Drosophila melanogaster: one gene and its partner. The protein of the gene in region 2 binds, or shares a complex with, the protein of the main gene of each other region. Each region holds a gene or a part of one and is shown on either strand. Other genes may lie near its edges.

Region 1 (4,755 bases), on a different chromosome or scaffold from region 2:
TTGTCTTTTCTTGAGGGCATTCCCCGCAAAAAATGTGGTTGTTTTACTTAGCTTTCCTTTGCTGTTGTTGGTTTGTTTGTTTGTTGGTTTTTTGTGTTCCTTGTTGTTTTGTGTTTTTATATTTCTTGTAAAAAATGCCGACAAATATTGTAACGTTGTTGGTTTGTTTTGGTAGTTTGAAGTTCCTTCCTGGGTCTGTTGTAGGTTGTATTTCTTTTTAAAGTTGTTGTTCTTGAAATATTTTTTTTGTTTGTTTTGTGTATTCAAAATATTGTGGTTTTACGATGAAAATGCACACCAGCTCTGCTGCCGTTGGTGTTTTTATTTTTGTTCGAGTTTTGAATTATTATTGAATTATTGCATTTTGTTTGAAATGAATTTGGTTGATTTTTTTTTATATTTTTACTTTAGTTTTACTAGAAAAATACACTGGGAATACTTTTTACTTTTGGGTTAGATTAGCTTTGTTTGATATTTGAATATTTTGTGTGTTTTGCTTGATTATATTGGTTTCTATTTAGTATACATATATATAATATATATTTTGTAGGCAATCGTTGTGGTTTATAGGAAGTAGTAGTGATTTTTTATTTACTTTCGAATACCTTTAGTACAACGATGATTTTTGGGGGACGAGGTTTAAATCTCCTTCTTCCTCTTCTCGGGACTTCCGTTTCCGGTTCCTCGCTCACTCTCTCTCTGTATCTTTCTTTCTTTCTGTGTCGATTTCCTATTTTGTTTCGCTGTACGTTGCTATTACTTTTCGGTTGCACGATTTGTATAATTTGTTTTTTCTTTTTTGTTGTTTTGTTGCTGTTTTATTGCTGTTTCATTTACTATTCACTAAGCAAAAATTATGAGTTTTAATGTTTTTTTGTTTTTGTTTTTATATATGTATATAATAGATATAGGACACCCGTTATGTAAAGTTATCCTCGCTCATTTACTATGTTGAACTTTAAGTCTACGATTTATTTTGTTTTGTTTAAATATATATATTTTTTGAATGCGTTTTGAAGTCTTTTCATAACCTAGGGTTTTTATTTTTTGCTTTGTGTTGGTTGGTTTTGTTGTTTATTCACTTATTCCATTGTTTTGTTTTTGTTTTCTCGGTTGACGCTCACTAGATTTAAGCTTAGTTTAATAGTTTATATAATATAATATATAATATACTATAGTATATATGTATCGAAGTCCTTTAAGATATCACGAATTTGTTTCAATGTTTTTTATCTTTTCATTTGCATTTGCTCTTAAGTGTAAAGTTGTTGTTGGTTTAAGATGTTTTTCTGCTTTCTGCTTCCTCTTTCGCTCCTTCTTCTTCTTCGCCTACTGTTAAAAATGACGGGGTTTTCCTTTCATTTAATTAGAGATTTTTTTGTGGTTTTTCTTTAGGTTTTTGTTTTTTTTTTTTCTTTAAATTTATAAATTTACAGTAATTATCACAGAGTTGTTAAATCTTTCTTTGAATTTGTTTTGTTTTTCTTTTCTCCGTTTTACTTCCGTTTGTTGCAGTTGCTTTTGCTGTTTTAGACTTTTAACATTTCTCACTAGGTACACTTATAAAAAAATCTGAATTGAAAACTAGTAAAAAACAATGTTTTATTGGAAAAAATAAAAACTGTTTTTTTGGCACAAGGCCGCAGTTTTGAATTTGTTATGCGTTCTCTATATATATTGGCTTAATCCGTTTATTTTTTTTTCACTAATTTATTGTTTTAATTAAATTTATTGGCTAAGTTCAATTGCTGGTGTTGTTGTTGTAGGTCTGTGTAAAACGTGACTTAAAACTTATAGAATTCTTGTAGATTTTTGGTTTTAAATGTTTTCTTTATTGTTACCGTTATTTTTTTAGTATATATTTTTTATTCACACTTTTTTTGCGGCACAATTGTTGCTTGATCGGTTTTATTCAGCTCTCCTCGCTTCTCCTCCATTTATCGCTCTGTCTCCCACTTCCCTTTCGCCCTTGTGGGCGTTTATCAGTTGTTTTTGGACTTAAATTCTAGCAGTGTTTGTTTTTATGTTTAGTTAAATAATTTAGATTGATGTTGCGTTTTAAATTAAATCGTTTTTAATATGTTTAAATTATTTGTTGTTGATTTACTCCCGGTTATTTTGTACTTTAAAACATTAATTCAGTTGTTTGTTGGTTGTTGTTTGTTTGTTGTTGTTGCTGCTTTTGTAGCTCGGTTGTTGATGTCTTAATTTAAATTAATTAGCAAATTGAATTCACTCTGACTTAACAACAAAAAATTCGTAATTAAATTAAAGCTTTTCAGGAAAAATAATGAGGAATTTGGGATTTATTTAGCGTTTTTCCAAGTGTAGGTTTTGCGGTTTTGCTTGAATTGTTTTTGTTTTATTCGAGAGTCCGAACGCCGCAGCGCCGTTGCCTTTGACTTCACGTTAGTTTCGTTTCCCGTTGCTTTTTTGTTTTCAGTGCTTTTGCCGTTTTCTTGTTAAACTCCGCTTTACTTGCTCCTTCGTGGTTTGCCTTTTATTTTGTTTTAGCTTTTCTTTTTGTTTATTTATTTGTTGGTGCTTTTGAGTATTGACGAGTTAATTTCACAGCGTTTCAATTTGTTTGGTTTGTTGTTGGTTTTGTTGTTGTTTTATTTGAAAGTCTTCGTTTCAAGCTTGGCTTGTTTTTTATGTTGTTTGTTGTTTTGTTTTCTTTTTTTATTTGCGCAGTCGCTTTATCTCCCTCTCTGTCTGTCTCGCTCACACCGACGGGCGGCGTAAAAATTCTCGTTTTTTCTGTTTTGTGTGTTTTTCTTTGCAAAGCAAACGAAACAAAAACAAAGAAGAGTCCAAAAAACTTAAAAAGTTTTTGCTTTGACTTTTTCCTTTTGAGCTATGTTGTTGTTGTTTTTTATTTCTGCTGTAACTTTCAATTATTTGCGATTTATATTTGTATGTATTATTTTTTGATTCGTTTTCGATGGTGATTTTTTTATTTTTTTATCATATTTGTTGTTGTTTTTTTATATTATTATTATTTTTTCAGATTATGATGAAAGTGATGTCAAAACGGAGTTTTAGTTACAAAAGCTGTTGAATGAGAAAAAGAGAAAGGTGGAAACGATTAAGAAAAATTAATACATCTTTTTTATTATTTCTTTTATTTTTGGCTAGTGAAATCTACACCGAAAGTCTTGCTGCAGTTTTATCGATTTTTCAGTGTTGCAAATGGAGAGATTTTTGCCTGCCGGAAAAAATTGCACACACACTGGCGCAACCTACTACGCACACACACATGCACGCCCATACACACGCACACGCAATTGCAATCGTAAACTATTTTTACACATTATTGTTGTGGTTTTTAGCGTAAAATTAGCAACCCCGCAGACTGCACACACACATGCACAGTCACCGAAGTGCCAAGTTGGTAGCAAAAAAACGAATTTTCATCAACTTTTTTTTCGGGCTGCAAATTTGGTACCCTCAAACGCACACACACACACACAGAAGCGTAGAAAATCTGGCTGGGCAACGAAAAAACGTTAATTCGCCATTTAAAAACTAATTTCCCTAACACATTTCATATTTTTCCATCACAGCTTTGTTCGCGGCACATTTTCTGCATATTTTCGTTCCGAATTTGAGTTAAATAATAGTCCTATTTGAAGCGAACGAGAATTTTCTGGACCAGCCACACGTACCACACGACAGCACAACAACTGCTAGCGGGCGCCATATTTGCCGACAGCACGATGGCAGTGTTGGAAGGTGTGCGAAGAGAGGGACAATTGTGACGTCAGTGGTCATGGGAGTAGGAGCAGGGATCTCTTAGCTTTTCTATTCCTATATTTAAATAATCAAAACTTATCTAAGATAACGATTTAACTTTAATTCAGTTAAAGGGACTATCTTTAATGCAATGTCTAAAAGTAGTAGAAGTGCAGGGTTATACATCTATGTCATTTTCTATGCTATCACTGCAAATTATAAAATATGAATTGTATGTGACTTTTATGTAATATTCTTAGTTTTAATAATAAACAAAAGCAATTTATGTAATTAAATGGATTATTACTAAGAAAATTACATCTAAATATTTAATTTTAAACTGTACGTATTCGAGACAAGAACCATCGCTAGCTATTTCTAACTTAAGCCAACCCCAAAATCTTTTCGCCTTTTATTAAGCGGCAATATATTGATTTAAAAAATGAAACTAGTTTTATTTGTTCTGATAAATAAATATGGAAGATATGTTATTATCTTTGTAAAATTGGAATTCCCCCAAAAATGCAGAAGTGTATTCACTTAGTTTAATTCTTAATTTTCGGAAGTTCTGTCACATAAAACATAAAACACAAAAAATCCCTTTTTTAGATTCCTTTTAGCAGCCCACAGAAAATCACATTAGTTTTACGTCTTCCTGGGTCTTTTAACGAATTTTATTTCAGCAGCTCCTTGGTTGCTTAATCCATAATTAACTTAAATGGTATTTTGCATGATAATGGGATCCAATACATATGTATGCTGATAAATTGATTATCCTTGAACAGATTTTTAAAGATTACAATTTACAAAATCTAGTTAATTGGTTACGGTGCCTTTTATACATTCGACAGTGCAAAATGTTATCAACATGAATAGATTATCAAAACGCCCTCGCTAAATATAAATCTCGGGCTAATTGTAGTTAAAAAGATTTAATATCATGTTTATAATTTTTACGTTACGAGCACTTCGATTTGGTCACACATTAAATTGCATCTGGTTTTGCATATTTTAGGGTTA
Region 2 (7,957 bases):
TCTTGCGGTTTTCTTTTTCTTTCTTTCTTTCTATTCTTCTGTTCTCTGCACAGTTTGCTTTCCATTTTTTCGTTTTTATTTTAACTCTTTTGCAATTTTTTTGTTTTTTCTTTGCTTTTTTAAAAGTGTATGGTTGTCGCGTTTCTTTTTCTAAACAAAGCTTTCTTAAAGTTTGAATTTGAGAAAAAAGAATTGAAAAAAATTACATATCGCTTTCGTGTTTGTTGTTGTTTGAAAGTGTGGATGGAAAAAGTGTACGAAAAACTCAATATGTATGTAACACTAGAAACTTCTTTAAAATTTTTAAAACACAATTTCAATACTTGCAAGAAGCGGTTTACATGTATGCTTTGCTTTAATCTGTTTATTTTGCAATGGTTTTTTGGTGTTTTCATTATACGCATACAAAATAATATCGATCCAGTTAAAGCAATAACGAAATTTTTTTCATTTCACATTTTTCCGTTTTTTTTTTTAATTAACATGTTTATGTAAAAAAAAAGAATTTATAAGTGGACTGCAGAATTTGATTGCGTGACTTTCTTCTTTTGCTTCGTGTACTTGCGTAAATGCGTTCGAAATTAAATGATTGAAATTGCTTTTGTTGATGTTTCTGGGATTAGAAAAGAAAAAGCCGTAGATTTTTCGCTTTGTTTTTCTGTGTTAATTGTGTGTCCTTGGCAATCCTCCCCTGCGCAAAGCATCAGTGAATGCGAATTTTTGTTGTTCATGTATTGAAAGATTAGTGGAAAACTGCAAGGACAAAAGAGAGGCGAGTTTAGACAGCTTGAACTTTTCGGAAAATTTGTAGACTACTTACTTTTTGGGTGTAAAGTGTTCTTGTAAAATGTTCATACGCTTGAGCTGTTCGAGCTTAGTTGGCGGGCTCGGTGACGCGGTGCACCTGAAGCACGGCCACAGCCTCCTCCACCTTGGCCTTAAGGGCCTCCTGATCCTCGATCATGTGCAAGAGCTCAGAGTTTTCGATCTCCAACAACATGCCGGTGATCTTACCAGCCAAATTGGCGTGCATATGCTCAATCATCGGATACAGACGCTCGCCCAGGATCTGTTTCTGCTCCTGCGGCTTGGCGTTGGCCAGCAACGAGGCAATGAGCTTCTCAGAATCTGCAAGAAAAATAGCAATGGTGCCATTAGTGACAAATTGTGCATATTTTCAGTCGACCTAAAACTTACTCTTTCCTTGCAATTGCTGTGGAATTGGCTGGGTCTGATGCAACTGTGGCACTGGAGGATTGCGCATGTTTGAGGTGTACTTATAGTTGGAAGTACGCTGCTGGGCACCGCCAGCGATTTGGGCTCCGGGGATCTGCATGTTGGGTGCTGCAGTTTGCTGGCCAGTAATAGCGCGTGCTCCAGTGTTGCGCATGTTGTTAGCCGCAGCAGCGGCGGCATGTGTGCCCTGCACCTGAGGCTGTGCCCCGCGAGCGCCAGCAGCAGCCGAACGGAACTGAGTGGGCACCGCACCGGCTGTGCCCTGGAAGCCACCAGCAGCGGCAGCTCCGGCCTGGACACCCTGTATGGCTGCTGGGGGACGCACCTGGGGCACCCAGCGGGGTGTGTTTCTCATCTGAGTGGCCACCTGGGAACCGAAGAAACGCTGATTTGACGGAAGGGTCGGCACAAAGAAGCCGCTAGCCGCGTTGGGCTGGTAGATCTGTCCCAGCTGCTGCATACGCATGCCGGTCATGTGACGCATGTACTGCGAGGCGAGATGAGCCTTGCGCTCCTCCTTCCTTTGGGCCAAAGCAACGTACAACGGCTTACTGCCGACGACGCGACCGTTCAGCTCGGTGACGGCGCAGGTAGCCTCGCTTGCGGCATTGAAGCACACGAAGCCGAATCCCTTGGAGCGACCCTCCTCATCGGTCATGACCTTGGCCGATGTGATGTTGCCGTATGGAGAGAACGCGATGCGCAGACGATCGTCATCGATTGTGTCGTCCAGGTTCTTAACGTACAAGTTAACGCCGAACACAGACTCGTGACGCTTCTGCTTCAGTTCCTCGAACTTGCGCTTCAGCTCCTGCTGGCGTTCGGCCTTCTTCTGGGCACGAGCCACGTACAGGGACTTGCCCTCTCCCATGTCCTTGCCATTGAGAGCCTGAACGGCCGCCTCAGCAGCCTCTGTTGTCTCGAATGCAACGAATCCGAAGCCCTTGCTCTTGCCATCCTCCTTGGACATGACCTTGTAGCTGGTTATCTTGCCGTAGGGCTCAAAGAATTCCTTCAGTTTTTCATCGTCGAAATCCTCAGTGAAGTTCTTCACATATACATTGGTGAAGAGCTTAGCCTTCTCGCCCAGCTCCTTCTCGCGCTCCTTGCGCGGGATGAACTTACCCACGTAGACCTTCTTGCCGTTGAGCAACATGCCATTGACTTTGTCGATGGACGTGTTTGCGGCCTCCTCGGTCTCGAAGTGGACGAATCCATAGCCCTTTGAGTTGCCCTTTTCATCGGTGGCTACCTTGCAGCTTAAAATGTTGCCGAAGGCGGAGAAAGTGTCGTAGATTGCCTTGTTGTCGATGGCCCTATCTAAGTTCTTGATGAACACGTTGCCCACACCTGAGCGACGAAGAGAAGGATCACGCTGAGACCACATAATGCGAATGGGCTTGTTGCGAACCAGGTCAAAGTTCATGGTGTCCAAAGCACGCTCAGCTGTTGATGAAAATCGGGAAAACATTTGGTTACTACCGACACGATTTGGGTATATCAAGATCATTATAAGTTGAAGGGGCTTAAATAACAATGTGACTCTTCAACTTCTGCACTGGCCATGAGCAAAAGCAGCGCAGTGCATGGTAAGTCAAGTCTGATCTTTTATCTGGCAACTATGAATCTTAGTCGTGTCAAAAAGGGTTGAATCTGACCAACCAATGGGTAGGAGTTGCTAGATGTCTAAATACAAGGACAATCTTATCAGTCTAATCATGTGATACATTGAGTGTTTGTTATGCAGATGGTATGCAAAACCCATCAGCATGGTAAGTCGCATTGCTTTCTCTGGCAACTATGAATCTTAGTCGTGTCAAAATGGGTTAAATCTGACCAACCAATGGGTAGAAGTTGCTAGAAGCTTAGATAAGAAAGGGCATAATCCTTCGAGTCTAATCATATGATGTATTATTTAGTGTTTGTTATGCTTCTACTTCTGTGGATGGCATAGATCAGCCATCTACATGGTAAGTTGCATTGCTTTCTCTGGCAACATTGAATCTTAGTCGTGTCAAAAAGAGATAAATCTGACCAACCAATGGGTAGGAGTTGCGAGATATGAATCGAAAAAAGAAAAACATTTAGGGTGTTACTAGTCTAGAACGAGATGGTATCATTTTTGAAAGGTCTGTTTTTCCAACCTAACCTTAACAGCTAGAGTTCAAGAAACTTGCTGGAATGCGACAGACTTTCACACGCAGCGTAATCATCACCAACCGCCAGCTTTGTGCCATTGTGCGCTTAATTGAATAAACAAATGTAAGCGAACAACGGGAATCGAAGAAGCACCAACTATGCGCAGTGAAAGTTTTGTTTTCGTTTTTTGTAAAAACAAGATTTTGATGGTTAAAAGAGAGGCCGAAAAGCAGTTCACTGACATGTCAAGAATTTGGAAGTGTTGATGGATGGAATGCGGAGAGTATGGAAGATATGAGAAAGTGAAAGCAAAACAAAAGTTGGAGGCAGTACGAAAACTAAAGAGCGAACGTGCGGAAACTCAGTTAATGGAATATAACCTAAAATAGATGAAGGCCAAAAAGAAATGGTCCAAACAACAATGAACACATGTTTTTGCGCGTCGGCGTGTGCGTGCGCGCAAGTTTGCCGCTTGGAAACAACACACATCACACGAATAAAACGAGAAGAACGGGCAAGGAAACAATGAAACCACCAATGGGCGGGGCTGCGATAAGCAGTTTGGGCAGTATGGAACCATATTATTCCATCATAATTGCAATTTTGTGCGAAATTGAGACGGAAATTTCTAGGCGAACAGTTGATGAGTGCCACGAGCCAGCTGTTTAGCCCCCATCATCCCCCCGCACAAATCGTATACATCCAGAATAACTGGAACTGATATAATCATGTGTGTGTGTGTACACACTGGCGGGAATTGAGTGCGTGTGTGTGTGCGCGACGAGATTAACGTAAGCAGTGCACTGTGGAACAAGTTATGAAACACTTGGAAGCCGTTTATCTGGTCTCCTATGAAAGACATCTTTCAATAAAGTCCAGTTTGGACTTGCGTTTAGCCCCACTGTATGACATGCGCTAGTGTGCGTGCGTGTGTGAGTAAGCGAGTGCAAAACTGCACACGTGTTTTCTTTGTTTCGCGCGGAAGGGGGCTACTTTTGCGGGCAGTAAGACTAAAAAAATTACACTACTTTTGCGGGGATTACTCACCATCGGCTGGCTGCTGGAAGTTGACGTAGGCATAGCCCAACGAGCGACGGGTAATCACATCGCGGCAGACACGAATGGACAGCACTGGACCAGCAGACGAGAACTTGTCAAAAAGTCCCGATTCGTTGACGTCCTGTGGGAGATCACCGACGTATAGAGAAGCCATATTTGGTGATCAGGTCTACCTGCAATTTTTAACAATTAATTTCCACTTTTTTGACACTGAATTTTGGGTTTTTTCTTAATCTTTACGGACCGGATGGATTCGACCAGGCAGGCGGTGAAATAGAAAGAAAAAAAGCGGCGTGGCTTTCGGTCTTCTATTCGTCTCTCTGTCTGTGTGTCTGGGTGGCAACACTGGTACATGTGACAGTCGGTAGACATGGCAACGTTGGCATTTGCTTTGTTGTTGCTCTTTGCTCTCCCCTTTTATTTCTCTTCGTGTTGGAAAATTTCCACACAGACACAAAGATAGACACGCGTTTGCCTGATCGAATTTTGGGGAATTCTTTGATTTTCTCGAAAATATGCGACAACTAGTTCCTAGACCACTATTTTGCGGGCAATCTGGCGTTTATAGACGCCATCTTTGAGCGAAGAACGACCGCAAACAAAGCAAATTTCGATGGGAAAGGAAAATTTCCCTATTCGCTTTGTCGTGCGTTGCGCCCTCTCACTCTCTACACCATTGTAACCAATAGCTTTACACTGTACTTACTTCTCAAACACGCTCGATTTTTTTTGCTACTTTTTACAATTTTTTTTGTTACGTTTTTGTGTTTTAATATTTTTTTTTATTTTTTATATGTTTTTTCTTCACAAAAAATATGTGATAAGCCGTGTGCTGAAAGCGAATCCACGACCGCTCACGTAAACGGACTCTACACGACTCATAGAGAGGAGATTCGTTAGCGATGACCCCACAAAGTATCGATTAAATCCCACTGCACAATGCTGCCACATAGGGTTAGAGACAAATAAATGTCACTAAAAAATCCGTGAGGACAATTTACTAATTACGAAGCATTATTTTGAATTTCAAAAAAGCCAGCCATCACACATAAAAAATTTTTATATTTAGCTAATTCCCGAAACATGAAATACTTGTGCATTTTCAGGGGTTCTTTGGTAACTCTGCTTCATTTATGTTCTGATATTTTCGCCAATGTCCTTGAATACTTTGTCTCATAAAACACAATCCAAAATTAGGAATGCAGTTTTTTTTTCTTTTAAAAATGAGCGTAGACTTTTAGAAAATGATTTTTTGGCACTGCACAGATATTAGCGTATGCTCCGAAAACCGAATCCCATCTTTGTAATTCCCCACTGTGCGAACTTACCTAAATCAGAGAATAAAGCGATGAGGCTGCAAGTCGACACTCCGAGAAGTGCTTGAGTACTTCTTTTCGTTCTCGATGGAAATCGGCACTACAGAGATTGAAGAATTTTTTAAGTTTTTTTTTTGTGTTTTTGTTTTTACGAAATAGACCACATTCAAGGATGGCTGAGGATAATTTTTTTTTTCTTTTTCCCGTTTTGAACGTCTGGTGCATGTGCCCTATCTGGCGATCGAGTACCTAATGAAGCGGTGTGAGGCGTCGGTGCCTGACAAGCTTCAAAGCGAAGTGTCACTTTGGGCGCCTACTGGCGTGTCCTGAGTAAAATCTTAAAAGATTTGACATTTCGGAAACATTTATTTGGGCATTATATACTTCATTAAACATATTTCGATCTGGTTTGGCCAAACATTTACTTGGCTTGAGAATTAGTTTGCTTTCAACTCAATTTTGATTTTTCGTAGCATTTAATAGTTAAACATAAAACGTACTGGCTTAATTCATTATTGTGTAGTTTTGCCTAGACTATGGGTGAAAATTATTGAACTAGTCCTACATTTTATTAAATTTGTGTGTATGTATGTATATCAATTGTTTTTTTTTTGTATGCATGACATGATTTGTGAGTTTTCCCATTTGAAGGTATATTTTTCAAAAACATACATGGGCGTGGCGTATCGCTAAAGTACAGTACTGAACTTAACTGAATTGTTCTCATTATTTAATACGTTTTCATTCATCAGCGAATTTTACATAGGCTTCCAGATTAATCTTGTAATACTTTTACCAATTTTGTGAAAACTTATTTATGTTCTGCTGCAACACTTAACTGCCATTGCACAATTATAACCTGTATTCAGTTGCTTTTTGCTTTTTTTTCGTTTTTTTTTTTTACAATTTAACATTTTATCGCTTTAATGCTGAACCAATATTTTGAACAATCTTTTTCTATTTTGGCAGTGGGTTGGTAATAAACTTTTAAACATTAACAAATAAAGAGGCCCGTAGTTGGCAGCGTTCATTAATACATAATAACGAAAAGAAATGATAATGGAAATGAAGAATATAAAATTCATAATGAGTCGGTATGCCAAAGGGTTCAATTTCCAAGCAATCCAATCGCCGTTGTCGCTGTATCTCCGCCCCACTCCACCAGGTACTGGACCTGTCCATTTCCCATGCGCCGCTTGGCCCGAATGGCAAAGGGCTCACCAGCATCTATGCGATTCATAGCGCCACCAAAGTACTTGTTCACCGACTGCTTCAAGTCCAGCATGGAATGTCCTGGGGCTCCAATGCCGTTGCTGCTGCTGCTGGTTGCCGTCGAGCTGGTGGAGTTCCGGCGGCTTTGGCTGGGTGACTGCTTCTGTGGTCGCTGGCGCAACAGGCGCCCATGTGTCGGCTTTCCCATTGGCGGCGCGGGTGGCTGCAGATCTTTGGCATAGATAGGAAGGTAGTGGCTGGGTATGGGATTGATGGTGGTGGTGCTGATGACCTATTAAGTGGAAACGAAAAAAACATCTCAAACATTATAGTTACATTGTTGTTAGTTAAACTCTTACCTCAATGGCCGTGGTCAGGCGGCGAGTGCGTCGTCTGCGCACTTCCTGATTGGGCCCTATCGTAATGTCTTTGGCACTCAGTCTTCGCTTGATGGTGCGCACCATGCGCGGCTGCTCCTTGGAGGTGCCCTTAAGCTTGAAAATGCTGTTTATGATGCCATTTACTCCGACTCCAGTTCCCACAGAAATACTTCGTCCCTGCGACGCCTTTTTGGGAGTGGCCATAAGGAATGGATTGTTGCGTCCCAAAAAGTTGACCGGCGGTGGTATGATGAGGTCCAACGAACTGGTTCCCCGACTGCTGCTTGAATTCTCGTCGGATGATAGATCACAGTGATTGCGGCTGTTGTCATAGCGTTTGGACAATCGGAAAGCCTTGCGCTTCCGACTGCTGTTTGCGTCCAGCAGAGGTGGAATGGGAGCTGGTAGTTTGCCGGGATCGCCATCGTTGGCATTGTCGTCGGCGAGGTCCGGCTTCAGTGGCAACTCATCATGCTTATCGGCCTTCTGAGCGGCCTGCTTTTTGGCCTTCTCAATAATCTGTTTGATGGGTATTTCGTCCTCGCTGGTCTCGACTGGGTCATCTTCATCTGTATTAAACTCATACACATCTTTGGGAACTCTTTTCGGAAGCTC

Evidence for each region. Proteins that work in one complex are often made in the same cells at the same time.
Region 1: the proteins of pAbp (region 2) and Unr are in contact, whole or in part, in a crystal structure (PDB 7ZHR), measured with the Drosophila melanogaster proteins. Residues at the interface, in NP_476667.1 of Drosophila melanogaster: Asn184, Tyr186, Lys188, Ser211, Lys213, Met215, Phe225, Phe227, Ala229, Tyr255, Ala257, Arg258, Ala259, Gln260, Lys261; in NP_648226.2 of Drosophila melanogaster: Leu843, Glu844, Thr845, Thr846, His847, Asn848, Gly849, Val850, Glu870, Ile871, Leu872, Asp873, Glu874, Thr878, Val879, Ile880, Ser881, His883, Leu902, Ile907, Asp908.

What each region holds. Positions count from the first base shown.
Region 1 is NT_037436.4:8,438,665-8,443,419, forward strand, and holds the start of Unr (upstream of N-ras), read right to left. Parts: upstream 3,044-4,755; 5' UTR 1-3,043. UniProt on the Drosophila melanogaster protein: RNA-binding protein that acts as a regulator of dosage compensation in both males and females.
Region 2 is NT_033778.4:18,138,138-18,146,094, reverse strand, and holds the start of pAbp (poly(A) binding protein), read right to left. Parts: upstream 6,018-7,957; 5' UTR 5,763-6,017; intron 5,319-5,762; exon of another isoform or gene 5,141-5,318; intron 4,721-5,140; exon of another isoform or gene 4,679-4,720; intron 4,608-4,678; 5' UTR 4,589-4,607; coding exon 4,423-4,588; intron 3,294-4,422; exon of another isoform or gene 3,157-3,293; intron 3,096-3,156; exon of another isoform or gene 2,953-3,095; intron 2,917-2,952; exon of another isoform or gene 2,771-2,916; intron 2,683-2,770; coding exon 1,198-2,682; intron 1,129-1,197; coding exon 875-1,128; 3' UTR 821-874; intron 754-820; 3' UTR 1-753. Other genes in the region: Pcl (polycomblike), read right to left, coding at 6,859-7,254, 7,322-7,957.